2 linked regions of the Callithrix jacchus genome follow. The protein of the gene in region 2 purifies or fractionates together with the protein of the main gene of each other region. This does not show direct contact. Links are inferred from orthologs where the notes say so. Each region holds a gene or a part of one and is shown on either strand. Other genes may lie near its edges.

The links.
Region 1: the proteins of EIF3G (region 2) and EIF3H purify together in Homo sapiens (affinity purification with mass spectrometry; 8 studies listed by BioGRID and IntAct, counting the BioPlex papers as one, with this or other methods). This does not show direct contact. The link is inferred for Callithrix jacchus from reciprocal best matches to the Homo sapiens genes EIF3G and EIF3H.

The regions. Positions count from the first base shown.
Region 1 is NC_133517.1:80,675,675-80,691,438, reverse strand, and holds the start of EIF3H (eukaryotic translation initiation factor 3 subunit H), read right to left. Parts: upstream 8,119-15,764; 5' UTR 8,093-8,118; coding exon 7,961-8,092; intron 1-7,960.
Region 2 is NC_133523.1:9,303,408-9,319,293, forward strand, and holds EIF3G (eukaryotic translation initiation factor 3 subunit G), read right to left. Parts: upstream 7,124-15,886; 5' UTR 7,081-7,123; coding exon 7,061-7,080; intron 6,922-7,060; coding exon 6,875-6,921; intron 6,383-6,874; coding exon 6,299-6,382; intron 6,191-6,298; coding exon 6,102-6,190; intron 5,961-6,101; coding exon 5,901-5,960; intron 4,568-5,900; coding exon 4,463-4,567; intron 4,366-4,462; coding exon 4,176-4,365; intron 3,463-4,175; coding exon 3,355-3,462; intron 3,237-3,354; coding exon 3,100-3,236; intron 3,013-3,099; coding exon 2,906-3,012; intron 2,800-2,905; exon of another isoform or gene 2,535-2,799; coding exon 2,519-2,534; 3' UTR 2,419-2,518; downstream 1-2,418. Other genes in the region: P2RY11 (P2Y purinoceptor 11), read left to right, coding at 1,076-2,169. UniProt on the Homo sapiens protein: RNA-binding component of the eukaryotic translation initiation factor 3 (eIF-3) complex, which is required for several steps in the initiation of protein synthesis.

The sequences.
Region 1 (15,764 bases), on a different chromosome or scaffold from region 2:
AGGCAGGAGAATCACTTGAACCAAGGAGGCAGAGGTTGCAGTGAGCCAATATCCCTCCATTACACTCCCGCCTCAGCAACAAGAACAAAACTCCATCTCCAAAAAAAAAAAGCACTTCCACCAAAATGTTGCCATTAGATTTGAATAACCATCAGGTAAGTAAGGTAGAAATAACATTTATTCCCAAAGCTGTTGAGAGGATCAGATAAAATCTAACCAAACATCCCTGTACAGGGTCTTATAGGTGCTCAATTAAATTAGTGATTTTCCTAACAGATAAGAAATTGGCAAGTAAAAAGATGGAGAAATATGAACAAGCTCAGAAAGCTAACTGATTTATCCTCAACTGTGTGCTCTTTTCTTTTCTCACCAACACTCTATTAATTTCTACAAAGCATTTACCAACCCAGTTTCTTCATGATTGATTTTCAAGAAAATTTCCACACAACAGGAGTATATTCATTCATTCACAACATCTGAATGCCTTCTATACAAAGGTACGGTTCTAGACACTTGGAAACACTTCAGTGAACAAACCTGGCATGGATGCCACTCTCAAGAAGCTGATATTCTAGTGTGAAGAAATAAGCAACAAGTAAAAAGAGCTTCAAACAGTAACAAGGACCAAACTGGATACCAAAATTCATATATGTTCAAGTCTTTTATATATAATGGTGTAGTATTAGTAATTGCATATAACCTAGGCACATCTTCCTATATATTATCCCTAGATAACATATAAGACTTAATACAGTGTAAATGCTATGTAAATAATTATTATACTGTATAGGTTTTTATTTGTATTTTTTATTTTTTCCTAGTATTTTCGATCCATGGTTGGTTGAACCCATGGGTGTGAGATTGCTGGATTCGGAACCCACAGATACGGAGCGCTCACTGTATATGTAACTCACACTTTTCCATTTATTAATGACATACTCTACCTTACTTAACAAAACTAAGAGAATAAGGTACTTAATAAAATAACTTACATAAAGGGGAAAACAAAATTTAAAAGGTTAAGAAATTTCAACAGCAATGGCTTTCAAGCACTGAATTGTGGAGGAGACTGTTTTACACTTTAGCCTTCAAAAAGGTGATCCTATCAATGAGAAGGGGAAAACAATATTAACAGTAAATCATTAACAGTACGGATCACATACCAAGATGAGTGATACAAGCTGTCATTAAAAAGTTCAGAGAAAGGAAGAGCAATGCTTCTTCTCAAACATTAATATGCTATAAATCACCCGATTTGGTAGATCAGGAGAGGGCCTGAGATTCTATGATACTTTATGTCTCCATTTCTAACAAATTAAAGTGTAACAACTTTGCTCATCTTCTGGTCACGGATCATACTTTGAATAGCAAGAGTCTAATAAATATAAGGAAGGTAAAAGTCAAATGTTCTAGGGAACAAAGTGAATTCAACAAGAAAAGTTTAACAGGAAGAATTAGCTTAATCTTATCTGGGAACAAGGAGACCACCTGACAGAATGAAGCCCCATTCTTCCATTTCACAAGGAAGTACCGAGCACCGACTCTTGCAGAGGACACAGGAAGAGCTACACTGACAGGCCTACTGGAATGGACAATTAAAAGATTATTGACAGAGAGCATTTCAACTTACTGGACTGACAAAAATGGGTTTCTAGCCATACCAAAGGTAGAAGAGATGTGAAGCAATGGGACTTCTCATAAACTGCTAGGACAAATGTGAAATGGTACAAATACTTAGGAAAGTAATTTGACATTATGATTCTTAGTATAACGGTCCATAACGGTCCATGAGTATCCTCAAGTCCCACCAATCATAGTGTGAGACAGACATATCAAGACTCAAGACACAGGAGAATATAAACTATGATTTAATTCATATTTATTCATATAGACAAGTGAAAGTAATCAAACTGTTTAATAGTCCATGTGGTAAAGCCACAAAAGAAACATTAAAATTTGCTAAAAAAAAAAAAAAAAAGCCAGGCTCGGTGGCTCATGCCTGTAATCCTAGCACTTTGGGAGGCCGAGGTGGGTAGATCACCTGAGGTCAGGAGTTCAAGACCAGCCTGGTCAACATGGTAAAACCCCATCTTTAAAAAAAAAAAAAATTTGCTTATACCCATTACTGGAGATAGTTTAAAAAAAAAAGAATCATTAAAATAAAACTCTCCAATAGTGACTCACATAGTGGGAGAAGGGCCTGGAGGAAGGGATGAAAAAGACAAAAGGGCTTCAAAGATACTTGTAATGTTCTATTTCACAAGTTGAACAGTGAATAACTGAACGTTTAGACGCTAACTTCTGTGAATGACATTGTGATATATTTTACAGTTCTTTGCTAATGTTATCAATGGTCTTTAAAAAGTCATAATAATTCAGGGAGTTTGTGGTGGCAAATTCTAACAGGAATAATGTTCAAGTATGAAAACCACAAATACAAAATGGTTCTTTAACCATAACAAAGAGGAAAAAAAGCCAGGGCAAAGAAGTGGAACATGGGGAGCTAAAAGAGACAGTGCTTAAAATTTTAATATGGGAAAGTCCTGATGAGTGTATGTGCTAATGGAGCATCCAGCTGACCCTTAAACAACATGAGCCTGAATTGCACAGGTTTAAGGATGTGAACCTTGCATATAGGAAAGGCCAACTTTGCCTATAGGTGGGTTCCGCAGGGTTCCATAGGACCAACTGTAGGACTTGAGTATACTCGAATTTTGTATATGCAGTGGTCCTAGAATCAATTCCCTGTGGATGCTGAGGGACTGCTATATTACCGATACAGAGGAATTGATAAAATAGGTCTAAAGGCAGAAAAGGAAGGGTTCAAGAATACAAGAAAAATTGGTCTTGGCCACTATCAGTGTGCCAGGAAGGAACAAATGTGATTAAACATCAGGCTGAACATAGGATGAGATAAATCTCCAGGTTCACCTCCTACATCTACATATGGCTGAGAATGGTCACAAGGGTCGGGACTTTTTTCTTCCTTGCTCACCAACATACCGAAGTATCTAGCAGGGTTAGATCTGGCATATGGTTGGCAATCAATAAATATTTGTTAAATGAATCAAGAAAAGATTACAACTGGAGTATACAGATTCAAGTTAAACTAGATGGAGAATTTTTTTAAAAACAGCATAAGTCTATTAGGTAACATTGTTTATTCAGTATGTGATGATGAAAGAGGAATTTCAGAGAGAAAGAACTTCATGAACAAAAGCAAGGTCATGCTTACTGCTTGAATAAGGATGTGAATCTAGGTCTGTCTTTAGCATGACTTATTAAAGGAAAAACCAAGTAGTCTGAGTGTCTGGAACATAGAGTTCCCACAAAGCTTGGAAAGAAAGGAAATAAACCTGAACACAGATACAAGAAGTAAGAACATTTTGGTGGGCCTTAAAGTCAATGGAAAGTCACTGAAAACATCTAAGAAAAGAAGATCAAATCTAAATGTTCACATTAAATGAATATTTTAAAGTATGAATGTTAGACTGAAGAGGGCAGGGGAAAACAATATTAAAATAACCTATATAAGATATGAGAACATAAACTGGGAGTATTATAAATAATAAAACGGGGCCAGGCGCGGTGGCTCAAGTCTATAATCCCAGCACTTTGGGAGGCCGAGGCGGGTGGATCACGAGGTCAAGAGATCGAGACCATCCTGGTCAACATGGTGAAACCCCGCCTCTACTAAAAATACAAAAAATCAGCTAGGCATAGTGGTGCATGCCTGTAATCCCAGCTACTCAGGAGGCTGAGACAGGAGAATTGCCTGAACCCAGGAGGCGGAGGTTGCCGTGAGCCGAGATCGCGCCATTGCAATCTAGCCTGGGTAACAAGAGCGAAACTCCATCTCAAAAAATTAAATAAATAAATAAATAAAACGGAATTCATACTCATTCATTTATCCAACTCTGTCAATTAACAGGTTCAGTACTGGAGATACAACATTGGTGACAAAGCACAGTCTCTGCCCTCAGTAGCATATATTCTGATGGAGAAGAAAGAAAACAAGATAGTTACAGGCTGTGGGAAATTCCAGAAAGAAATATAGGGTGCTGTGATAGAAAGTAAGGAGAAGAACAAGTCTATGATTCTATTTTGGACATGTTAAATATGAGCTGCCTATGAGTCATCCAAATAGTGATGTCAAATAGGCAATGGGCATTTAAGAGCCATTACTGACAAAAATATAAATCTATGACTTATTAGAAATAAGTAATATTTAAAGCCACGAGCAGGGATAAGAATACCTTGAAGAATACTACTATAATTACTGCAAATAACTGCAGCAGCTAAGCTTAAGTGGTGACTTACTCTGTCCCAGACATTGCTGTAGTTATTGACATATATTCAGTCCAAAACAATTCAGATGAGGAAAACGAGGCACAAAGACTTGCCCAATGTCATTCAGCAAATTTCAGAACTGGGATTCAAACCCAAGCAGTCTGGCTCCAGAGCACACACTTCTATCAACTTCATTACGCTACCTATGTCAAGCAGAGACTAAAAGAAAAGCCAAAACCTAAACCATGAGGCACTCCAACATGCACAGATGGAGAAGAGACACTAATATAAAAGATGAGGATTAAGTGGCCTAAAAGGAAGGATAGTGATTGACTGGGGTCACACGCTGGTAAGAATCCTCAGCATTAAGATATGAAAGCAAAAGAAAGAAAAGATACACTATTAAAATTGATAGGGATACTGGCAATCATTTTGTGGATAAGAAAATGTACCTTCTGAATAAAACAATCAGAGAAGTGTTGTAAGCTACTGGTGGATGCAGACTGGAATGCATGTTTCCTGATTATCACTTCAGTGCTCTTTCTACAATTTCAATCTACAGTAACAAAGGTAGCATTCGGAATAACTCAAGAAACATTAATAAGGATGAGAGTGGCAAAGCCACTGACAGTAATCTGAGTGTTTATAACGACAAAGGTACTATTAAACACTTTGCATACCTCAGAATTTCATTCTCAAAACCCTTATTAGGGAGTACTTTATCATCATCCCCATTTTACAAAGGATAAACCTGAGACCTAGAAAATTTAATAACTTGCAAAACGTCATGCTTACTGCTGGAATAAGGATCTGAATCCAAACCTGTCTTCAGGATTCTCTCAGCTAATATGTAACATTGCTTTTCGAAAAGTAACACTGTTAACCAAGACAGAAAAAAGAAAGAAAGAAAGGGAGAGCAGAGTTTAAGGAAGTTTTTTAAAACTGTATTTGGGCAAAGGTGAATACACCTTTATGCCTTCCACGTAGAGACAGTATGTACATGACTCCATGTACAAAACATCCATTAATAAAATTTAGAGTAACCAGTATTCACTGTATCTAACCCAGTATATGGCATAAAGAACATACTACTTAAATGTTCCCTACTGGATTTATGATAATTGGAAACCATTCACAATTAAAATATGAGCAAAAAAGATAAAGGAACCCTGCAACTGCATCATAATCTAGCTGCCTAAAATTATATAAATGACAGAAAGGCAGATGTCCAAAGAGAGGAAAAGTTGTTAGGAATTTATTTTGCTAATATCTACCTAACCGGTGGAGAAAAAAAGCAGAGTTACCCACTACTGCAACTCTGCAATAAGAGATCTTTCACTAAGTTCATCAAGAATCTGCATATAAATAATTCTCAAGTAAAATAATCCTTTACCTGCTCTTATCATGATTGACTTTGGAGTCACTGATAAGCTTTTGATCTTTTTTTTGTTTTTGAGCAATGGTGCAATCTTGGCTCACTGCAACCTCCGCCTCCTGGGTTCAAGAAATTCTCCTGCCTCAGCCTCCCAATTAGCTGGGACTACAGGCATGTGCCACCACACCTAGTTAATTTTTGTATTTTTAGTAGAGACAGGGTTTCAACATGTTGGCCAGAATGGTCTCAATCTCTTGATCTCGTGATCCGCCCACCTCGGCCTCCCAAAATGCTGGGATTACAGGCATGAGCCACTGCACCCAGTCACTTGATTTTTTAGCCGATTTCAAAGGTGCTTCGGTAATCAGAAATGGTCCTTTTGGTGGTACATATAAGCATTTTCACCACTGTAAAGGTTTATCTTCCACAGTAAATGAGTAAATCAACATTCACATGTACAAACCAATCCCCTGTGAGCAGGATTAACGGGTTCCTTGGCATTAATCAATTGTGAGAGAGCTGATAAAAAAAACAGTAATTTGTGAATCCACGAAATTGAGAACCACTCTCTTGACCTTCCTAAGCCCACTGTCTACTTGTGAAACTTGAAGTGATCCAGTCCATCTCCACCTGCAGGTCTCTTTTTAACAATCCCTCTTAAAGTTGCCAGGAAATTGTTACTGATGTGCTTTTATCACTGCCCTGTTAGACAATATTTGGCACTTAGAAGAATGTCCTAAAATATTTACTGAATAAATGACCTCCAAATAGATTTAATGCCACCGACCTTTTGCCTTTTTCAACTCTGAAAACTAAGTGACTCAAAGAGTGCTGTTGTGACATAACAAATTTAATAAGAAATGTGCTCCTAAGGAATAAACATTTCCCAAGTGTGTAAGTGGTACTTATTTTAACAAGTGTAATCTAAGTCCACCCACCAGCTTTAGAGATTTGTAATCTCTAAAGACACATCATTTGTTCCTGAACAAACATCTGCTTCCCATGAGCCAGGGAAAGCCAGAGTGCCAGTACACAGACCAGATAGTACTGCATTTTCAACGTATTACACAAGTGACACTTAGAGCAAAACATTCCAAAGTTAATCTCTCACCTGCATCTTTCAAGCTCTGCTAACCATAGACGTTAAACTCTTAATAATCGTAACATTGATTACTCTGTGCTAGAGGTCACCACATAAATTTTTTATTTAACCCAAACAACTCTATGACATAAACCCTTCTCATTCCCACTTGACAGATGAGAAAAGCAAAGCTTGGAAAGGTTAACTTGCCCAAGGTCACAGAGCTGGTTAAGTGGAAGACCCTAGAAGACTAAATGAGCTCCTAACCACTAGGCTACACTTTTGTATCCAGTTTAACTAAGTCAGTTCAACAGATTCAATTATATGCTGGATTTAAATTATGAATAGTTTCCACTTAAAAATAGCACGGTGCAATTAAAATATTCACATGAATTTTAAAATACTTCCTTATTGCAAGTATCTAAGATCTGCATTAATGGGAAATAACCTTTAAAAAAATCAAAGAGAGAGAAGATGCTTTTTAAAAAGAGAGGCAGGAAAGATGTTTTTAAAACGAGAATGTCATACAAATGTATTTTGCTTCGAAACAACAGAAATAAAATTTCTCATTCTAGGTTATCCTTTTCCCAGCTAAGTCCATTCCCTTATCAAGAATTTCCTTAGATGTCCTAGTTCACGAACCTTAACTACTAAATACATTTTAGGTCCTTCTCTTTGATATTACTTTATGTTTTTCTGAATAAACACTACAAAAGAGTCCATTCTAATTATGCGGTTTCATTTAAAGCGCCGAAGTACAGGCTCAAGAGAGTGGCTACAAAGTACATCTCCATTTGGGAAGTTATAGATGTCAGATCCCAGCAGGGAAGCAGTGGAGTTTCCTTACTCTTTCCTTCCCAGAGCCCTGCTAAGTCCCTAAATCCTTCTCGACACCTTCGTTAGCTGCTTGTCTCCAGGAGTCTTTCTCCTAATCCCCACTCCAGGCAACTCAAAACAAGACCCCAGGAACTTGTCACTCACACCCTATTCTCAGTCCCCCTTCCTGAAGCCACAACTGTCCCGATAGAAGATAAGAGAAGGTTGTCGCGTCTTCTGAAAAAAAGTGAAGATGAAAGAGAAAGGTACTAGGGAAAAACTTTGGCCCAGCCACACCAAGTCCGGGGGCAGAATGCTGGAAAGTACGGCTGGCGGGGCGGGACGGGGCTGGGAACTGCGCTCCCCACGTGGGCCAGAGAATACCAAACAGCACTCACAAGGCCATCTATCTGCACTTGCTTCACGGCTGAATCTCCAGAGCCGCCTTTGCCTTTGCCTTTCCCTGCTGCGCCGGCGGTGGAACTGGAAGAGGTGGCAGAAGAGCCGGTACCTTCCTTGCGGGACGCCATCTTTCTAGGCAGACAGGAAGAAAGAGAAACATGAGTTACCGGAAGCGGAAGTACAAGTCTCGCGTGACGTCACTGGCAGACTAGCGTTCGACGGGCGGAGCTGGAAGGAGAAGCCAAAATTGGGCCCCGCCTCCCTCCTCTCTTCTAGTTTTATCGTCTTTCCAGGTGGTAGCCTTTGTGCGTGCCTACCGTACATTTTCTGCCTCTCTCCAATGGAGTGATCTAAGATGAAAGTAAAGTTTTTAAATGTTTAATCATTCACCATTAGGCGAACGGTCATAATAGCGTTACAGTTCGCATTATTTTTGTAGCGTGTCTTTCGTAAAAACGCTTTCATTTCTGATTTTGCAATGAAGTGCTGTACTAGCTCGCATTGTGCATATTAGAAAATTGAGAAGTGGTTTACCCGACACTATTCTGTTAGCGGTGAGCCAATATTGCATAGCTTGTTTTACGTAATTTTAGATAGCTACCTGTATAAACACTTAGATTATACAGAAATTAATTAAGATATGGAAACTTTTTCCAGAATTACCAGAAATAGTAGCCTTTTGCTATTAGTTTCATGTAGATATTTACATAAGTATCAAAGAAGTTATTTTAGGTATTGTTGAAGGTTGATACAGAACATTTTCTAAAAATCACGCTGATTTATGACACATTATTCTGAAATACACATCTCAAGTCTTTAAAAGAATATGTGCCAACTGTAAGAGCCTTTTTAGATAAGCAATTTAAAACATTCTTTTCTACTTCCTAATGACTTCTTTCCTATCCCTTATTTTTTAAATGCTTATTAATTCAATCAAGATATACACAGAACTGGCAAATAGTTAAATCAATAAACGGCATATCCTGCCTTGAAGTGTTTTGTTGTTTTTATCGTTGGGATCTGGTGTTATATTTCAGTCTGGGAGAAGAAATAGTTATATGTTACAAATTCTCAACACCACAAAATGGAAAGTTAATATCCATTCATTTTAAGTATATATGAAATATTTATCAAAATAGACCACATCCTAGGTCACAGAGACAGTCCACAAATTTAGAGGTGTTGAAGGTTAATCCTGGTAGAATTACACTAGAAATTGGTAATAGAAAGGTCACAAAAAGAAAAAAAAAAAAAAGAAAATTTCTCATGGAAGAACTAGACTGGAGGCTAACACCCTTTTCGACCTTAGCCCACCTGCACCCAGGTGAAAAAAAAAAGAACTAGACTGGAGGTTTTTGCCTACCACTAGGCAGCTGGAATGATGAGCATCAGAAAACAGCCAGACTGCTTATAAACAATAATACATTTATTTATTACTTTATCCTACAACATACATAACCCAGTTTTGTTTCAAAATTATAAAACCAATATCCTCATAACAATAAAACTACAAACTAAAGTTTAAAATTTCTTTGCAAATTTTGTGTCCTTGAAAATATCCAACTAAGGTTTTCCAGCCATGTGTGCTAAACACACTAAAATGGGGTATTTTCATCTGTCCTGAGACAGTTCATGTGAGCCCCCTTTATGAAATAGACTACATGTAAGAGATAGAACAGAGAGAGAGAGACAGAGAGAGACAGAGTATATGAAGTAGAATTTGAATTAAGAAATCAATATAATCAATATGATCACCTGGACTAGAAAGGGCCCAGAAGTAATGACATTTCCTTCTCTTGGATTCCTGCTTTCATTTCCATCTCACTGGCTACCTCTTTTATTCTCAGTTGCCATTGCTGATTTTTCTACCCCTTTCCACCTTTAAATATTGAAGAGTAGCAAAATTTAGACCTTAAACAATCTTCTTTCCCCTAATTTTGCTCTCTTTTATGGTGATCTCATCCATTCTCAGGACTGTAAAAATCACATATAGTCTGATTCCCAGATTTATATTCTCCAGACCTCTCCACTGAACACACTAGCATGCTCATCTACCTAGTCAACATCTCCATCTAAATTTCCAATAGGCACCTCTCAATCTTTCCAGAATCGAGCTGCAGATACCACCACCCTCATCCCCAAAAATGTTCTTCCCATAGTCTTCCCTATCTCATTTGATGACAGCTTCATTCTTCTAGTTGATAAGGCCAAAAACGTTTTCTGTCATCTTTTACTACTCTGTTTCTTTCATGCCCTATCTCTGATCCATCAGAAAATCCTATAGACTCCATCTTCAAAATGTTTTCAGAATTCAGACTTCTATTTCTGGAAAGATGAAGTAGATATATTTTTGCCAATTCTGCCTAGTTAGTACAACTAAATGCCTGGACATTATATATAAAAGAAACATAAGGAGACTGAAAAAAAATGTGGAGAAGAAAGAAGACCGGCTAGGGACCTCAGGACCCAAAGTACAACAAGGTGGTGATTTCCCAAGGTTTCTATTTGTCACGTATATCCCAGACCCGGAGTTAACATTCAGTGACTGAAAACAACAACAGGCAGACCAAAAAAAAAAACTTGAAACCTCCAACAAAATCCTCTTCTCTGCACACTGTCAGGGGAGCTTGGAGTTTCACCCTTACCAGACTGTAATGAGGCACCTATGCTATTCCCCGAAGGTGTGATGTTAGAGGAAGCCTAACCAGAATTTCATCACAGCCAAGTAGTAATGAGGTCACCCATTTGTCAGTGGGGGCAACACAGAGAGCAGTAATGAGGCTCTCCTAGCCCTTTCATCAAGGAGGTATCAGTGAAGGTCTAGCAGGATCTGGAACTCCCATCCCTCTACTAGCAACAGAGAACCACCTCCCAAGTGAGGCAATGGAGGCCCAGTGTTACTGTAACCTCTCTAGGAAGTAACAAGAAGGACCTAATTCCCTGCCCTTGTATTGCCAGAACGGTGTCAGAGGAAGCCAGCAAAAACAGAAGGTCCCAATAAGGTCCAGAGTTCAGTAAAAAATAAAATACCCAAATGTCTATGTTTCAATTAAAAATCATTCATCTCGCCAAGAACCGAAGCATACATGGACTAGATGATCTCAAACTAGATGAAACAAGATAATCAATATATGCCACTGAAATGACAGAGAAGTTAGAATTAGCTGACAGATTTTAAAGCAGCCCTCATTAAATGTTTCAATAAACAATTACAAACACACTTGAAACAAATAAATTTTCAAAAAACAAATTCAACTTATCGAAGATATATGAGATATAAATAAGGACCAGCAAAGGACATAAACACTTAGCGAAAGAAGATACACACATCACCAACAAGCATATGAAAAAATGTTCAATATTACTAAATGCAAATCATTGTATAGAAAGGTGAGCTTGGAACTGGCACAATCCACCAGTCATCTCACACCAGTCAGAATGGCTATAAAAACATTTCACAGCAGTCAGAATGGCTATAATTAAAAAGTAAAAAAATAACGTTGGTGAGGTTTCAGAGAAATAGGAAAGCTTGTACACCACTGGTTGGAATGTAAATTAGTTTAGCTGCTATGGAAAGCAGTCTGGAGATTTCTCAAAGAACTTAAAATAGAAGTATCATTTGACCCAGCATTTTTTTTTTTTTTTTGAGACAGAGTCTTGCTCTGTCACCAGGCTGGAGTATAGTGACACGATCTCAGCTTGCTGCAACCTCCACCTCCTGGGTTCAAGTGATTCTCCTGTCTCAGCCTCCTGAGTAGCTGGGACTAGAGGTGTGCACCACCACACGCAGCTAATTTTTATAGTTTAAGTAGAGATGGGGTTTTACCATCTTGGCCAGGATGGTTTCGATCTCTTGACCTCGTGATCTACCCACCTCAGCTTCCCAAAGTGCTGGGATTACAGGTGTGAGCCACCAGGCCAGTCCTGACCCAGCAATCTTACTACTGTATATATGTTCAAAGGAATATAAATCATTCTACTGTAAAGACACATGCACATATATGTTCATCACAGCATTATTCACAATAGCAAGGACCTGGAATCAACCTAGATGACCATCAGTGGTGGATTGGATAAAGAAATGTAGTACATATACAGTGTGCAATACTGTGAAGCTATACAAAAAATGAGACCATGGCCTTTGCAGCAACATGGGTGAGTTGGAGGATGTTTCCTAAGTGAATTGACATAGAAACAGAAAACCAAATACCACATGTTCTTACTTATAACTGGGAGCTAAACACTGAGTACACATGACAAAAAAAGGAATAATGGATACTGGGGCCTATTTGAGGGTGGAGGATGGGAGGAGAGTGAAGATTGAAAAACTACCTATCAAGTATTAAAATAATTACCTGGATGTCAAAATTATTTGTAATTTTCCCATGTAACAAACCTGTGCATGTACGCTTTAAACCTAAAATAAAAGTTGGAAAGGAAAGAAAAAACAAAAAGAACAAATGGAAATTTAGAACCTAAAAAGTACAATAACCAAAATTAAAAACTCAATGAAGGGGCTAAACAGCAGAATCAAAAGGAAAAAAGAAAGAGGTCGGTAAAACAGAGATAGACTGATAGAAATGACCTAGTCTGTACAGCAGCTTAACAGCATATGAAATGATGTACCATTGTGGAAAACAATATGTCAGTGCCTCAAAAATTAAACATAGCATTACCAAATGATCCAGCAATTGCCCTTTAAGGTATATATCCAAAAGAATTCAAAGTGGAAATGCAAACAGATATTTGTACATTGACATTTATAACCTCACTACTCACAATAGCCAAAAAATGGAAACAATTCAAATGCCCATTAGCTGATGAATGGATAAACAAAATGTGGAATATACATACAATATGGTTTGGCTATGTCCCCACCCAAATTTCATCTTGAATTGTAGTTTCCATAATCCCATAACATGGGAGGGACCCAGTGGGATGTAATTGAATCAAGGGGGCAATTATCCCCATGCTGTTCTCATGATAGTGAGTGAGTTGCCATGAGAACTGACAGTTTTATAACAGGCTTTCTCCTTTTGTTCAACACTTCTCTCTCCTGCCACCATGTGTTTGCTTCCCCTTCCACCATGATTGTAAGTTTCCTGAGGTCTCCCTAGCCATGTGGAACTGTGAGTCAATTAAACCTCTTTCCTTTATAAATTACCCAGACTCAGGGAGTTCTTTACAGCAGCCTGAGAACAAACTAATACAGCATCCGATGGAATATTATTCAGCCTTAGAAAGGAATTAAATTCTAATGCATGCTATAACATAGATGAAGCCTGAACACATTATGCTAAGTGAAATAAGCTGGCCACAATAGAACAAATATTGTATTATTTCAATGATGGTATTTCCAGAACAGTAGCATTCATCAAGAAAGAAAGTAGAATAGTGTTTATCAGCACCTGGGATGGTGGAGAACTAGGGAATTATTATATAATGGGTACCAAGTTTCAGTTTGGGATGAGGGAAAGTTCTGGAGATATAGTGATATTGTTGAAGAACAATGTAAATGTACTTAATGGCACTGAATTGAACATTCGTGGGAGTTTAAATGTTAACATTTATGTTACATATATTTTTTTGATTTTTTAAAATTTTACTCTAGTTTCACAACAATTAAATGTTAAATATATCTTATCATAATAAAAAAATAGACTGGCACAAAAAATGAACAGAGCCTTGGAGAACTGTGGAACTAAAAGAAAAAAAACAACAGGCCAGGTGTGGTGGCTCACAGCACTTTGGGAGGCTGAGGCGGGTGGATTGCTTGAACTCAAGAGTGTGAGATCAGCTTGGGCAACTGTGAGAAAACATCTCTACCAAAAATACAAAACATTAGCTGGGTAGTGGTGGCGTGTGCCTGTGGTTCCAGCTACTAGGGAAGCTGAGGTAGGAGGATTGCTTAAGCCTGGGAGGTGGAGGTTGCAGTGAGCCAAGATTGCGACACTGTACTCCAGCCTGGGTGACAAGTGAGAGCCTGTCTTAAAAAAAGAAAAAAAAAAATCAAACAATCCTATCAACAGCTGGGTGTGGTGGCTCACTCCTGTAATCCCAGTGCTTTGGGAGGCCTAGGCGGGCAGATCATGAGGTCAGGAGATGGAGACCAGCCTGGTCAACATGGTGAAACCTTGTCTCTACTAAAAATACAAAAACTAGCTGTGTGTGGTGGCATGGGCCTGTAGTCCCAGGTACTTGGGAGGCTGAGACAGGAGAATTGCTTGAACCCGGGAGGCGGAGGTTGCAGTGAGCCTAGATCTCACCACTGTACTCCAGCCTGGTAACAGAGGGAGACTGTCTAAAAAAAAAAGAGCAGGGGTAAAAAGGTATTTGAAAAAATAATGACTGAAAACACCCCAAATAGGGCAAAAGTCATAACCTACGAATTCAAGATGCTTAGCAAAGTCCAAAAGGGATACCCCCAAAGAAATTTATAACAAGACATATCAAAGTCAAACTTCTGAAAACCAAAAAAATCTTGAAGGCAGAAGAAAGAAATAACACCTTACTTACATAGGAAAAACAATTAGAATTAAAGTGAGTTTCTTATTAGAAACCACAGAGGTCAGAAGGAAATTGTACATTTTTCAACTGCTGAAAAAAAAATGTCTATTGAGAAGCAAATATCCAGCAAAAATATCCTCCAAGAATAAAAGGGAAATCAAGACATTCTCAGATGAAAAACCACTGCGAGTATGTGTCACCAGCACACCTCTTCTGAAAAAATGGCTAAAAGAAGTTATAAAGAAAGGAGACGACAAAAACAAGAAACAAACAAAACTTTGAACCATTTTTAAAGAAGAAAGAACTCAGTAAATTAAAACACGGAGAATTATAGTAGTCTTTCCCTCTCCTCTTGAGTTTTCTAAATTATTTTTTATGGTTAAAGCAAAAATCATGAGATTGTCCAGCATGGTTCTTAATGTCTGCAGAAGAAATATTTAAGGCAATTACATTTAAATAGACATGTTTAAGGGCCATATAGAGAGGTACAGTTTCTACACGTCACTCAAACTGGTAAAATGACAAACACTGAACTGTGACAAGTTATTTAAATGTAATGAAATCCCTAGAGAAACCACTAAAAAGCTTTACAAAGAGATACACTCAAAATAACATAAATAAATCAATATATTATTAAAAATGTTCAAGTAACCCACAAGAATGAAGAAAAAGAGAGAAATGAAAGCAGCAAGAATGAACTGAGAAAAACTTAAATGGCAATCTTAAGCCCAAATATATTAACAGTTATGCTAATATAAATGGGGGTTTTTTTGTTTGATTTTTGTTTTTGTTTTTGTTTTTTGTTTTCTGAGACGGAGTCTCACTTTGTTGCCCAGGCTGGAGTGTGATGGCTCAATCTCGGCTCACTGCAACCTCTGCCTCCCAAGTTCAAGTGATTCTCCTGCCTTAGCCTCCAGAGTAGTTAGGATTACAGGCGCCCACCACCATGCCTGGCTAATTTTTGTATTTTTAGTAGAGACGTGGTCTTGCCATATTGTCAAGGCTGCTTTAGAACTCCTGATCTCAGGTGATTTGTCTGCCTCAGCCTCCCAAAGTGGTGGGATTACAGGCATGAGCCACCATGCCCGGCCAATATAAATGCTTTAAATATACCAATTAAAGGAAAACAATTGGATGAATGGATAAATGGATAAAAACATGATCTATCCATAGGCTGTCCATAAGAAACTCACTTCAAACATAGTAATATAAGTATAATGAAAATAAAATGATGAAAAAATATATCATGTAACCAGTAATCAAAAGAAAGCAGGAGCAGCTATATTAATATCA
Region 2 (15,886 bases):
CAGGGTGTGGCCAAGCATGGTGGATCATGCCTGTAATCCCAGTGCTTTGGGAGGCTGAGGCGGATCACCTGAGGTCATGAGTTCGAGACCAGCCTGAAAAGGAAGTCAGAGGTCAAAGTGGTTCAAACATTGGTTTTGGCGTAGGAAACCAGAGCTAGATAAGTAAGCTCCAAAACCCTAGAGGTGGGTGGGGTAAATGCAAATTTAGCAAATCATTAAACCCTTGGAGGCAACCTTTGTGCCCCCTTGCTGGGATTACCAGCACTGCTCAAGTTTTGCCAGTACAGAAAGGACTTCTAAAAATCCTTAGAAGTCAGAGTGACCAACATGGGGAATCCCCATCTCTACTGAAAATACAAAAATTAGCCAGGCCGGGGGTTGGGGGGGGGCGGTGATGCAGCTACTTGGGAGGTTGAGGCAAGAGAATTCCTTGAACCCGGGAGGCAGAGGTTGCAGGGGGCCAAGATAGCACCACTGCACTCCAGCCTGGCGTCAGAGTGAAACTCTGTCTCAAAAAAAGTCTGGATGGGAAGGTCCCAAGGCACAAGCCTGCAGGAGCAGGCGGGAAGCCAGAGTGGGCCAGTGTGAGGGAGTGAGTCATGGGGCAGAGAGGATGGCATTGGGGAGTGTGGTGAGTGGCAGTGTACCCATGTGATCTTGTGGGGTGAGTCTGGCTCTTTGGCGGCCACTCCACAGCTAAGTGAGCTGGAAGCAAAAGAGGTGGGGACAGGACTCCAGCACTCGCAGGTGCCCTCTGGTGGCCACAGGGAGAAGAGTCTGCGGGTCAGGCAGCACAGATCTGAAGTGAAGCTGGCAGGACTTGCCAGGGCTGGACTTCGGGGAGGAGGTCTCTAGTGGGGCCAGAGATGAGGGTGGCGGGGGAGCTGGGTGGCCACTGGCTTGCCCCAGCTGGTCCACTGGGGCCCAGTGCAGAACCCTGGCTCTGAGTCTGATCCCCTTCCAAGGGGAAAGGACTCGTGTCAGGATCCGTGCCATGGTGGGCATGGGCTCGGGAGGCAGCAGGAGCTGCCTTATGGGAGGTGAGTGCTCAGCTGCTGATACCTTTTGCCCACAGGTGCCAAGGCCTGCCCTGTCAACTTCCTGGTGGCTGCTGACCACATCCTCAATACATTCCAGGGGGACTTCCTGTGGCCCATACTGGTGGTTGAGTTCCTGGTGGCCGTGGCCAGCAATGGCCTGGCCCTGTACCGCTTCAGCACCCTTGAGCAGCGCCCATGGCACCCCGCTGTGGTCTTCTCGGCCCAGCTGGCAGTCAGTGACTTGCTTTGCGCCCTGACGCTGCCACCACTGGCCGCCTACCTCTATCCCCCCAAGCACTGGCGCTACGGGGAGGCCATGTGCCGTCTGGAACGCTTCCTCTTCACCTGCAACCTGCTGGGCAGTGTCATCTTCATCACCTGCATCAGCCTCAACCGCTACGTGGGCATCGTGCACCCCTTCTTCACCCGCAGCTACTTGCGGCCCAAGCACGCCTGGGCCCTGAGTGCCACAGGCTGGGTCCTGGCTGCCCTGCTGGCCGCACCCACGCTCAGCTTCTCCCACCTGAAGAGGCCACAGCAGGGGGTGGGCACCTGCAGCGTGGCCAGGCCCGAGGCCTGCATCAAGTGTCTGGGGACAGCAGACAGCCACCGGCTGGCAGCCTACAGAGCATATAGCCTGGTGCTGGCAGGGCTGGGCTGTGTCCTGCCTCTGCTGCTCACGCTGGCGGCCTATGGTGCCCTCGGACTGGCCGTGCTGCGCAGCACGGGCATGACCGCGGCCGAGAAGCTGCGCGTGGCAGCACTGGTGGCTAGTGGCGTGGCCCTCTACACCAGCTCCTATGTACCCTACCACATCATGCGGGTGCTCAATGTGGAGGCTCGGCGACGCTGGGACAGCCACTGCCCAAATTTTACGGATGTGGGCCAGGCCATGGCGGCCCTGGAGCTGGGGCCCTACGTGGGCTACCAGGCAATGCGAGGCCTCATGCCCCTGGCCTTCTGCATCCACCCACTGCTCTACATGGCCGTGGTGCCCAGCCTCGGCTGTTGCCGCCAACACTGCCCCGGCTACAGAGACAGCCGGAGGCCAGAGGATGGCAAGAGCACCGGCCAAGCCCTGCCCCTGAATGCCACAGCCACTCCTGAACCATCCGAGCCTGTCCCATGAGGTGAGCCTGTGATGTGGCCTGGCTGAAGCCACATTCCAGGTGTCATTCCAAGGTGCCACTTCCCCCAGAAAGCAATGCCTGTGACTGCAGCCAGATTGGGCCTGCTGCAGCCCAGGCGGCAGTCGCCTTTCCCACTCAGAGCGCTGGCCATGGAGACTCTGCAGGGTCAGGGACCAAACCCACACCCAGGGAAGGGGAGGGGCTGGCCCTGCCACAGGACTGGAGATGCAAGAATAAACAGGACGGGGTAGAGAGAGAGGAGCCTTTTTATTGCCCTTGGAGCCCATGCTCTCAGAGGCTGCCTTCTGTCGCCAAGGGTCCTAGGCCGAGCATCCGGTGGCAGCTGGCTTAGTTAGTGGATGGCCTGGGGAAGGCAGGAGGAGGGTGGCATGGTGTGAGACCTTGGGGGGCACCCCAAGACTCCCGACACCCAAGTGGCACCTCGTGGGTGGGAGCAAAGATGGGGTAATACAAGGACAAAGGGGACACAGTCAGATGGCCAGTCTCAAAGCCTGGCCCAAAGTCTGGCAGGGACCCTGGGGCACAAGAGCTGCCACCCAGTACCCCTCTGCCAGGTTTTGGAAAAAGACAAGGACTGTCCCCTCAAAACCAACCTGGGGACTATTAAATTGCTATAGGACTATTGGTTGGCCCCAGGCTCAGTGGCGGTGCTGGGACAAGACAGGGACCCGGGGCAGGGGCAGGGGCAGGGGCAGAGCAGGGGTCGGATCTTACTTGGCCCACTCGACGTTGAGGATGAGGTGGTCATAGCCGAAGCCAGACACTCCAGCGATGGCGCGTGCAGCATCCTCACGGCGGTGGAAGCTGATGAAGGCAAAGCCCTGCAGAGGGGAGGCGTGGGTGGGGTCATCAGGCAAAGCCCTGCCCCACAGCGCCCCCCCCGCCGCCCCCCGTGCCTGCCCACCTACCTTGGACTGGCCAGTGGTCTTGTCCTTAGCTAGGTAGATGCGGGAGATGGAGCCAAAGGGCCGGAAGAGCTCCTGCAGGTCGGTCTCACGCGTGTCCTCTGACAAGTTGGTGACACGGATGGTGGCATTGTCATCGGCTGTGAGGGGAGGTGGCTGTGAGTGGAGTCCCCTGCCTGGCCCTCGTGTGCACCTCGGGGATAATGAGGGATTCTCGGAGGTGCCCACTCACCAGCCCGGTGTCGGGACACCCCTCACCTCTGCGGTTGGGCTGCATGGACTCTCCTCGGCGGCTGGCCCCGTCACGCAGGCTTGGCGGCACGTACTTCCCCGTCTTGTTCTGGGTGGCCTGCACCGGCTCTAGCTCTGCGGACCAACAGACAGCTGAGTTCAACTTCACCCTGGCACAGGCACAGGGACAGAGCTGCCCCAGGAAGCTGGGGCTCCAGTGCTGATCGAGAGCAGGCACTGTCTGCCAAGCCACAGGCAGCCGGTTGGCCAAAGGGACACCAAGGTCACACCCAGAAAGCTGGTACCATTTGAGCTCCCAGCAAGCAACACTAGTGAAGGCAGGGGAGGAAAAGTCCCAACCCCCCTCCTGAGAGGGCAGGGGGTCACAGGGAGAGCAGCCTCACATCTACAGCGATGGCATCATGGGACACACGGGACAGTGCCCAGGTTGCCCTCACATGGCAGGCAACAAGTACACATCCCCACTCACCACCAGCTAATCCCACAGAAGGATTCAGATGGTAGAGTCACAGGCATGTAACACACCACACATACACAAGGGGATGGAGGGGTCAGCACTCTGGAACTGACAGCAGCTCAAGCAGCTCACATCAGGACAGTCACACGGCCACCAGCAGAGTCACAGCTGCCAAGTCGCATATAAACAGGAGATACCTATCTCCCAACCTTACAGGAGATGCAGCCAACTAGGAAGGTAAAAGGCACCTCAAAGAAAGACAGGCACTGTCAAACCCACTGTGCTGTCATGCAGGAGATAACAGGCAATGATCAAGGACCCCCGACACACACCAAGCCCACAACAGCATCCAGCACCCCTGTCCACGCACCTCCGGGCAGCTTCTCCTTCTCGCCAGTGGACAGGCCCAACTGCTCGGCCAGCTCCTTCTGCATGGGCCCCAGCGTGTCCTTGTACGGGCAGCGAGTGGTCCAGTGGTCGCCCTTGCAGATGCGGCAGGACACGATCTTCTGCCCCTTGAGTTTGTTCATGGGGTCCTCCTCCTCCTGGCAGTTCAGGTCCTGGCAGGGGCAGGTTTGGGGGAATTCAAAGAGGTGGCTGAGGCACCCCATTTGCCACCACCCCAGGACCCCAGCCCAGTCTGGTTGCCCTGCTTACCTCCTTGCTGGTGATGAACGTCATAGAGACATCGTCACTGACAGTGGTGGTGGCCACATTGGGCCCTGGGGGGTCAAACTCTGAGTTTCCAAACTTCTTCCAGTTCTGGGCTCAGGGAGGAATGGGGGACAATTGAGGGCAGGGGCAGGCAGGGTTCCACAGTGGGGTGTCCCGGACCTACAGCCTTCCCCGGAGTGTCTGGGCCTTGAACCTCATTTTCATCCTCCTCAACCACTCCCTGAACAGTTCTGTTGACAGTTCCTATTGCCTGAGTCCCCGCCAGGCCTGAGCTCCAGGAGGCAGGGCAGCTGTCAGCATTGGGCCCCAGGTGAGAGCTACACAGCCTGGGGCCTGTTCATGTTGGCGGACAAGCTCCCACTAGGGTTCAATATTCAGGGATGTGAAGGGGCTCCACCCAGACCTCCAGGCCTTTGAGCTACCCAGCCTGAGCCTTGGCTTCCTCCCTTGTAAAACAGGAACCACAAAAGCTTCCTACCTCCCTGGGCTTCTAAGGACATCAAATGAGAAACACCCTGCCAGGTGGCTGGCATGAGGTATGGTACAAACTAAGCGCACAGCAAACTGTCCCAAGTGTATTAATTGATATCACTTCTTCCAGAAACTGCTGTGACCACCTTCTGGCTCCATTCCTCCATTGACAGGCTAAGAGGAATAAAAAATCTAACCACAGCTGGTCGCAGGGGCTCCCTCCTGTAATCCCAGCACTTTGCGAGGTGAAGGTGGAAGCTCTTGAGCCCAGGAACTGGAGACCAGCCTGATCAACATAGAGAAACCTTACCTCTACAAAAACTTAAAATTAGCCCGGTGTGGCGGTGCACACCTGTAACCCCAGCTACTCAGCAGGGTGAGGTGGGAGGATGGCTTGAACCTGGGAGTGTAAGGCTGCAGTAAGCTCTGACTGTGCCACTGCCCTCAAGACTGGGCAACAGGACTGGACCCTGTGTCTTTAAAAAAAAAATAAAAGAATCTAACTTACAATATTTTTAATCTAATTTATTTGATATTACTATCATTCGATATTTATCATCAAACTTTTTTTTTTTTTTTGGTGAGATGCAGTCTCACTCTGTCACCCAGGCTGGAGTGCAATGGTGCAACCTCAGCTAACTGCAACCTCCGTCTCCCAGATTCAAGCAATTCTTCTGCCTTAGCCTGCCCCGTAGCTGGGATTATAGGTGCACACCACCACACATGGCTACTTTCACTGCACCCCTGCCCATCATTGAACATTTTTACTGTGCATCATCATCAACTCCTGTGCCCTGAACTTTTCAAGACCCCATAAGAATACAAGAACCCAAGGCTCAGTTCAGACTCACAACAGGTACAGAGTTAAGTCCCATCTCTTAAAAACAAAGGTCCAGGGAACACAGTTTTCCAATTCCTCTGTGTTATCCCTGGGGAAGGAGGATCTCACCTTCCTCCTTGCGACAGCCTTTGAAGCCTTCCGGGTCTCAATCCTGAAGGTGCGGACAATCTGAGGATGGGAGAGGAGAAGGGTCAGGCTCCTGGAACCAAAGGAGCTCCTTTATCAACCCACTCAACACACCCCAACCTCTTCTGGTCTCAGGGTCCCCAAGGAAAAGGGTCCTCACTCCTTGCCCCCTCCCACCCTCACCTTGAACTTCTTGCCATCCTCATCTATCTTGTACTCCGTCACTGTCTTTATGTTTCCGTTGATGACCTCCTTGGGAGGCGGCAGTGGAGCTGGAGAAGGGGAAAAAGAGCAAGAAACTGAGCCCTGGGTCACGGGCATCAGGAGCGGCACGGCTGGAGGGAGAGGCAGCCCGGAACGGAGTGGCAGTCCTCACTCACCTCCCGGCAGCAGCTCCGGCTCTGGGCTGGTGTCGCCGGTGGCCAGAGGGATCCCTTTGAGGAGCTCGCTGGTGACACATTTGTCTGCGAGAAGCAGCGTGGGGAGAAGGGGTCAGCTCCAGGGGCAGGAGCTCCCCAGCTGAGATGGAAGGGCCTTTGGGATGACGCCTACAGCAAAAGCTGAGAAAGGCAGGCCAAGGGCAGAGGACTGGCCAGGTAGTACACTGGGATGGCCCTGTGGGGACGCGGAGTGGCCAGGATGGGGGAATCCCTCGTAGGAAGGTGGGGGCCACGCCATGAAGCCATCCAGGCGCCAGAGAGAAACAGGAGACAGGAGATTACAATTGTCTCCCTGGAGTAAGGGAACAGCTGGGAGGGCTAGCGCAATGGCATGGGAGGAAGAGGGACCTGCCAAGGAACATCTGGAGTTGGCAACAGGCGAGCCCCAAGGATGAAGGCGCGGGGCAGGGGCTGGCCGTGACGGCGAACACGGTGCCAGTCTGGGAGATGGAAACAGGCAGCAGTGAACCGGCTCGGGCCTGGCCGCGATGACCTGGGGCAAACGGATTCACTTACCGTCCTCTCCCTCCTCTTCCACCTGGTCGGCCCAGCTGGGCTTCGAACTGCGGAAACAAGTGTGTGGGGAGCTAAGATTAAGTCAGCCAGGCCAAGCCCCCGCGGCCTCGGCGCACCCAGGCCCCATAATACTTCCCAGAGCCCTGTAACCGCCTCCCGTACCCGCTTCCGTGATCCCCAACTCACTCAAAATCTCCAGTAGGCATCGCAAAAGGGCTCTCCACGCAGCCCAAGCCCGGGCTAGAGAGCGGAAGTGGGTGTAAAAGGAGACTTCCGGTTCCGCGGACACCGCCTAGTGGGGCCGGCCGCGGCATCCACAGCGACACCTGCGGACGGAGGTGGAGGCGCACGCGGCTGTGTATGCTGCTGGGAGCTGCTGGTACCAGAGCAGGGAGCGCGGAAGGGCGGTGGGGGCGTAGAGGCTGATTTCACTGCTGCTCCTACTACCCTTTAAAAACCAAAATAAGCCGGGCGCGGTGGCTGAAGCCTGTAATCCCAGCACTTTGGGAGGCCGAGACGGACAGATCACGAGGTCAGGAGATCGAGACCATCCTGGCCAACATGGTGAAACCCCGTTTCTAGTAAAACTACAAAAATTAACCGGGTGTGGTAGCATGCACTCGTAGTCCCAGCTACTCCGGAGGCTGAGGCGGGACAATCGCTTAAACCGGGAGGCAGAGGCCGCAGTGAGGCGAGACCGCGTCACTGCATTCCAGTCTGGGCTACAGAGTGAGACTCCATCTCAGAAAAATAAGTTAAAGAAAATGATATAATAACAACAAGGTTCACTGATCGAGTGCTTATTGTATATGAAGCAGGGTGAGGAGGATATTATTGCAATTTTACAGCTCAAGAAACTGAGGCTGAGACTGGGTGAGGTGTCACACGCCTGTAACCCCGCACTTTGAGACTGAGGCATGGGGGTTGCTTGAGGCCAGGAGTTCGAGAGTAGCTAGCCTGGGCAACAGGGTGAGAACCCCACCACCACCACCCCGACACACACCCACCACCATCTCTAAAAAAGAAAAAGAAAGAAAAAACAAAAACAAAAACAAAAAGCCGAGGCTCAGGGAAAACAGTCCTTCTGCAAACTGTTCCTTGCCTTCTTTCCCAATCCCACAGATTCAGATGTCAAGGGGCCCGATGAGCCACTCCTCCTCCTTTTCGTTGTAGTGTTCTTGGCTTTCCGGTATAATTTTGTGCATTTACTTGCTTATTGCTCAGCTCCTTGCTCTAAGAACAACCATCCTCAGCTGGAGTGATTCATGATGACTCCCCAGGAGCAAAAACTGGTTTTCAGCGAGGGGGAAAAAAACTAAGATATTGTGGTCTTCCAAAGCCAGCTCTATCAGACAACATCTTATTCTTTTTTTTTTTTTTTTTTTCAAGACGGGGTTTCACCATGTTGGTCAGGCTGGTCGTGAACTCCCAACCTCAGGTGATCCGCCCAACTTGGCCTCCAAAGTGCTTGGATTACAGGCGTGAGCCACCACGCCTGGCCCCATCTTATTCCTAAGTATTTAGTTTCTGCCTTTAGGGAGATAGTAACTAATTAAACTGAAACTAACTTGGTTGATTTAAATTCAATTTTAGAATAATTTGGGTTTTCTCCTAAGGAGGCTGATAATGAACAACAACAAAAAAAAAAACTGACAATGTGGGGCTCAGTGGCTCACAGCTGTAATCCCAGCACTTTGAGAGGCCAAAGTGGGCAGATCTCTTAAGGTCAGGAGTTCGAGACCAGCCTGGGCAACATGGCAAAATAGAAAAATTAGCTGGGTGTGGTGGCCTGTGCATGTAACCCCAGCACTTCGGGAGGCTGAAGCAGAAGGATCACTTGAGCCTGGAGTTCAAGGCCAGCTTGGCTAACACATAGTGAGACTTCCCATCTCTAAAACAAAACTTTTTAAGAATTAGCTGGTCATACTTCTATGTGCCTGTGACAGTCCCAGCTACTCAGGAGGCTGAGGTAGGAGAATAGCTTGAGCCCAAGGGGTTGAGCCATGATCATGCCACTGCACTTCAGCCTGGGCAACAGAGCAAGACCCTGTCTCAAACACACACACACACACACACACACACAAACTTGTTAGGGAGAATGGCTTGAGAAAAAATAAGACAGGGAAAAAAATTATGCTTTTTATCCTCTGGGGTGTGAGTGAGGAGGTCACTCAAGTGTTTCGAATATCACCAGTGTTTCTTGTGAAAAAAAATATTCTAGAAGCCTGTAGAGAGCTGAGTGGAAGGGAAAACAGTAGCTGGAGAGCAGGAAAGAGAGGCCTCTGCAGCCTTTCAAGAGGGTGGCCTGGCTATATCAGTGAAAATATGACGCTGGTCTGAAGGGCTGATAAACATTTGTACAAGCTTAGTCAAACGTACTCTGAACAACAAAAAATCCAAACAACCTAGCAGATTGGGCAAAGCTTTAAAAATTCAGTATCACCCAGTGGTAGTAAAGATGTCATAGGGAAACAGGACAGGCACGGTGGCTCACACCCGTAATCCCAAGACTTCAGAAGGCCGAGGCTGCTGAATCACCTGAGGTCAGGAGTTCGAGACCAGCTTGGACAACATGGTGAAACCCCATCTCTACTAAAAATACAAAAATTAGCTGGGCGTGGTGGCGGGTGCCTGTAATCCCAGCTGCTCAGGAGGCTGAGTCAGAAGGATCATGGGCTAGGCGCAGTGGCTCACTCCTGTAATCCCAGCACTTTGGGAGGCCGAGGCGGGTGGATCAAGGGGTCAGGAGATCAAGACTATCCTGGCTAACATGGTGAAACCCCGTCTCTATTAAAAATACAAAAAATTAGCCGGGGGGAGGGGGTGGTGGCACGTGCCTCTAGTCCCATCTACTCAGGAGGCTAAGGCAGGAGAATCACTTGAACCTGGGAGGCAGAGGTTGCAGTGAGTTGAGATCGTGCCACTGCACTCCAGACTGGCAGACAGAGTCTGTCTCAAGAAAAAAAAAAAGAATTGCTTGAACCTTGGAGGTGCAGTGAGGTGAGATTGCACCACTGCACTCCAGCCTGGTCAACAAGAGCAAAACTTCATCTCAAAAATAAATACCTATGTAAGACATTATAGGGAAACAGATGCTCACACATAATGTTAGTGCATGAGATCATGTAAGTTTTTTGGATGGAATCTTGACATCTAATAAAACTTTTTACTTTTTTTTTGAGACAGGTCTGGCTCTGTTGCACAAGCTGGAGTGCAATGGTGCAATCATAGCTCACTGTAGCCGCCATCTCTTGGGTTCAAGCAATCCTCCTACAGGAGCCTTCCACAGAGCTGGGACTACAAGCATGTGCCACCATGCCTGGCTAATTTTTATGTTTCTTGTAGTGATGTGGTCTCATGACATTGCCCAGTCTGGTCTTGAACTCCTGGGCTCAAGCAATTCTCCTGCCTTGGCCTCCCCAAGTGCTGGGATTACAGGCACATGGTACCTTGCCTGGCCTGCATCTACTAAAACTTAAAATGCTCATATGGGCTGGGCACAGTGGCTTATGCCTATAATCCCAGCACTTTGGGAGGCCGAGGCAAGTGGATCGGGAGGTCAAGATATCGAGACAATCCTGGCCAACATGGTGAAACCCCGTCTCTACTAAAAATACAAAAATTAGCTGAGTGTAGTGGCGGGTGATTCTAGTCCCAGCTAGTTGGGAGGTTGAGGCAGGAGAACCGCCTGAACCCAGGAGGCGGAGGTGGTAAGTTGAGTCACGCCACTGCCCTCCAGTCTGGCGACAGACCAAGACTCCATCTCAAAAAAAGTTTTAAAGTACGTATGAATTTTCCTTTGAACCAGCTAATAATTCCCGCTGTGAACAAACTTGTAAATGTATGCAAAGACATGAGAGTAAAATGTCCATGCAGTATTGTTTATGATACAAAAACTGCAAACACTTGTCCACCCATCCATAGGAATAGAGGCAGTTATGCTATGCCATAATCTATAAATTGCTATTTGATCTTTAAGGAGGTAGATCCATTTGTGCTCATGCAAAAAACAACCATCAAGATAAAAAGAGGAAGCAAAGGCTGGGTGCAGTGGCTTACGTCTGTAATCCCAGCACTTTGGGATGCTGAGGTGGGTGGATCACGAGGTCAGGAGTTCAAGACCAGCCCCTGCCCAACATGGTGAGACCCTGTCTTTACTAAAAATACAAAAAAAAAAAATTAGGCATGCTGGCAGGCACCTGTAATCCCAGCTACTCAGGAGGCTGAGGGAGGAGAATCCCTTGAACCCAGGAGGCGGAGGTTACAGTGAGACAAGATCATGCCACTGCACTCCAGCCTGAGGCAACAGAGAGAGGCTCCATCTCAAAAAAAAAGAGAGGAAGTGACATATAAAATGGCATATATTATAGGAACCAATTCGTGTAAATTTGTAATAGCACATAGATATGCAGATACATGCAAATATGCAAATCATTTCCTGGAAAGAAAGAATAAGAACTTGTTGATGAGGAATGCTTTGGAAAGAAGGCACCAAGAAAGGAAAGATTATTTTTGGACATGAATATATAATATGGATTTATGTAATAGGTGTGAGATGTAACATCTATTTCTTGGCCAGGCACTGTCAACTCATGCCTATAATCTCAGCATTTGTGGGAGGCCAAGGCGGGAGTGTTTCTTGAGCCCAGGAGTTCAAGACCAGACTGGGCAATGTCATGAGACCCCATCACTACATACAAAAAAATAGCTCGGTATAGTATTGCATGCCTGTAGTACCAGCTACCTGGGATGCTGAGGTGGGAGGACTGTTTGAGCCAAGGAGGTTGAGGCTGCAGTGAGCTCTTACTGTGCCATTACACTCTGGATTTGGTGACAGAGCAAAAACCTTGTCTCTGAAAAAGGAGGAGACTGGGCACAGTGGCTTATGCCTGTAATCCCAGCACTTCAGGAGGCCAAGGTGGGCAGATCACCTCAAATCAGGAGCTTGAGAACAGCCTGGCAAACACAGTGAAAACCCACCTTTAGTAAAAATACAAACATTAGCTGAGCATGGTGGCATGTGCCTGTAATCCCAGCTACTCAGGAAGCTGAGGCAGGAGAATTGCTGGAGCCCGGGAGGCGGAGACTGCAGTGAGCCGAGTGCTGCATTTATAGGCATGAGCCGCCGTGCTTGGCCACATCAAGGTTTGGGTGCAAGAGTACATCTGGTTATAGACTGCAGAAGCGTAATCCCCTAACCTCATTAGATGTTATTTTATATGTAGAAAAAGGCCTGGACCAGGGTCTTGCTCTATCACCCAGGCTGGAGTGCAGTGGCGCCATCACAGATCACTGCAGCCTCAACCTTTCCAGGCTAAGGTAATCCTCTCACCCTGGTCACCCAAAATTCTGGGATCACAGGCATGAGCCACCGCCCAGATTCATTTAAGGAATACAGTGACTCGGGCAAGAGACAGGTGCCCTGTGCTCTATCCTGTTTTGTCTTCACAGCCTCTTTCTGGAGAGCTGCAGAGATATGTCCCAGAGTCAAGGGCTTTGTGAAATTATGCGGGAAATCAGAGACGAACAAACCTGGCTTAACAATTGCTACTTTCTCTCACATTGCCATGACCAAGTACCACAGACTGGAGGGCTTAAACAGGACAGGGGGATGAAGCGAGACTTTTTTTTTTTTTTTTTTTGACATGGAGTTTCGCTCTTGTTGCTGAGGCTGGAGGGCAATGGCGCGATGTTGGCTCACCGCAACATCCACCTCTGCGGTTCAAGCAATTCTCCTGCCTCAGCCTCTCAAGTAGCTGGGATTACAGATGCCTGCCACCATGCAGGGATAATTTTGTATTTTTAGTAGAGATGGGTTTTCACCATGTTGGGCAGGCTGGTCTCAAACTCCTGACCTCAGGTGATCCACCCACCTTCGCCTCCCAACCCGATGGGATTACAGGAGTGAGCCATTGCTCAAGCATGGGCAACAAGAGCGAAACTGTTTCCAAAGAAGAAAATGGTGGTGGACACCTGTCCCAGCTACTCAGGAGGCTAAGGCAGGAAAATCACTTGAATTCAAGAGGTGGAGGTTGCAGTGAACCAAGATTGCGCCACTGCACTCCAGCCTGGAAGACAGAGACTCCATCTCAAAAATAAATAATAAAAAGAAAAAGAAAAGGCCGGTTGCGGTGGCTCACGCCTGTAATCCCAGCACTTTGGAAGGCGGAGGTGGGCGGATCACCTGAGGTCAGGAGTTTGAGACCAGCGTGACCAATACGGAAAAACTCCGTCTCTGCTAAAAATACAAAAATAGCTGGGTATGGGGCGCATGCCTGTAATCCCAGCTACTCGGGAGGCTGAGGCAGGGCAGTTGCTTGAACCTTGAGATGGAGGCTGTGGTGAGCCAAGATGATGCCATTGCACTCCAGCTTGGGCAACAAGAGCGAAACTCCATCTCAAAAAAAAAATAATAATAATAAGGAAAAAAATACAGGAAAAATAAAAAGGAAATACTAAATTGATGGACATGCAGATGTGGTAACAGTCAAGAAACGGGCAGAAAGGAGACATGGCAACGTCTTTACTGTGGTTTTCTAGGGAAGTAGGAAGTATCTGCGCGGCCCACAAACAGGCTTCAGCCTTGCCTTACATGTTCGTTTCATTTAAAAAAACAACCTTCCACTACAAACTATGATATGGCGTTTCCTCAAAAAATTAAAAACAACTACCAAATGACCCAACGCTTCCACTTCTGCTTTATATCTACAAGAACTGAACTTACTGGAGACCAGCCTGGGCAACACAGTCTTTACAAAAAGTAGTAATACATTTAAAAAAAAAAGCCAGGCACAGTGGCTTACACCTGTAATCCCAGCACTTTGGGAAGCTGAGGAGGGAAGATCAGTGGAGCCCAGGAGTTCGAGTCCAACCTGGGCAACAGAGCAAGAACTCATCTTTACTAAAAATGAAAATAAAGGCCAGGAGCGGTGGCTCACGCCTATAATCCCAGCACTTTGGGACGCCGAGGCGGGTGGATCACGAGGTCAAGAGATTGAGACCATCCTGGTCAACACGGTGAAACCCTGTCTCTAGTAAAAATACAAAAATTAGCTGGGCATGGTGGTGTGCGCCTGTAATCCCAGCTACCTGGGAGGCTGAGGCAGGAGAATTGCCTGAACCCAGGAGGTGGAGGTTGCAGTGAGCTGAGATCCCGCCATTGCACTCCAGCCTGGGTAACAAGAGCGAAACTCCATCTCAAAAAAAAAAAAAATTAGCCAGGTGTGGTGGTGCATGCCTGTAGTCCCAGCTACTCAGGAGTACTCAGGAAGCTGAGGTAGGAAAATTGCTTGAACCCAGGAGGCGAAGGTTGCAGTGCGCTGAGATCACGCCATTGTACTCCAGTCTGGGCAACAGAACGAGACTCTGTCTCAAAAAAAAAAAAAGAAATAAAGAAAACACCTCATTTATATTAGTAATGAAGGGACTAATATTTATTTTTTTGAGACGGAGTTTCACTCTTGTTACCCAGGCTGGAGAGCAATGGCGCGATCTCGGCTCACTGCAACCTCCGCCTCCTGGGTTCAGGCAATTCTCCTGCCTCAGCCTTCTGAGTAGCTGGAATTACAGGCACGTGCCACCACACCCAGCTAATTTTTTGTATTTTTAGTAGAGATGGGGTTTCACTATGTTGACCAGGATGGTCTCGATCTCTTGACCTCGTGATCCACCTGCCTCAGCCTCCCAAAGTGCTGGGATTACAGGCTTGAGCCACCGCGCCTGGCAGGACTAAATATTTAAAAGTCGAGTTACGAAGTCTGCAAGATCAGGATGAAAAGATGTGATGGGCACAAAGGAATTCCTGAATAAACAGGAGGACAACCCCTGTTCTCAGAAAGGAAAGCCCATCATTAGCATGTCAATTCTTCCAGAAGCCTGTAAAGTTAATGCAATCCCAGATACTGGGGAGGCTGAGGCAGGAGAATTGCTTGAACCTGGGAGGCAGAGGTTGCAGTGAGCTGAGATCACACCACTGCACTCCAGCCTGAGCGACAGAGCGAGACTGCCTCCCCTGCTGGATTTTTAGAGGATTTGCCAGTTCTAAAGTTTCAACCCAGCCATTCAACTCCTAGAAAAGTAGCCTAGATGTGGATACACATGTGTATACAAATCTATGTCCAGCCACCCCTCAGTGTCCCCAGGGTACTGGTTCCAGGACACCATGTGGTACCAAAATCAGAATATGTTTAAATCCCTGATGTAAAATGGCATAGGACGAGTGCAATGGCTCACACCTGTTATCCCAGCACTTTGGGAGGCTGAGGCTGGTGGATCATTTGAGGTCAGGAGTTCGAGATCAGCCTAACATGGTGAAATTCCATCTCTACTAAAAATCCAAAAAAAATTAGCCAGGAGTGATGGCATATGCCTGTAGTCCCAAGTGCTCGGGAGGCTGAGGCAGGAGAATTGCTTGAACCTGGGAGGCAGAGGCTGCAGTGAGCCAAGATTGTGCCACTGCACTCCAACCTGAGTGACACAGCAAGACTGTCTCAAAAATAAAATAAAATAAAATGGCATAGTGTTTTCATATAGGCTACACACAATCTCCTGTGTACATTACTTTTTGACATAGTCTTGCTCTGTCACCCAGGCTAGTGCAATTTTGGCTCACTGCAACCTCCACCTGCTAGGCTCAAGCAATCCTCCCATCTCAGCCTCCCAAGTAGTTGGGACTACAGGTGTGCACCACCATGCTCAGCTAATTTTTGTATTTTTTGTAGATATGGGGTTTCACCATGTTGCCCAGGCTGGTCTTGAACTCCTGTCCTCAAGTGTTCCTCCCTCCTTGGCTTCCCAAAGTGTTGGGATTACAGGTGTGAGCCACCGTGCCCAGCCAGAAAAAAAGTTTAAGTAAAGGCACTCTAAGAGATTTATTATATAACATATTCAGTATAGTTAGCATGTTGTATTCTTGTCCAGGCCCAGTGGCTCATGCCTAAACTCCCAGCATTTGGGGATGCCAAGGCTGGCAGATCACTGGAGCCCAGGAGTTTGAGAGCAGCCTGGGCAACA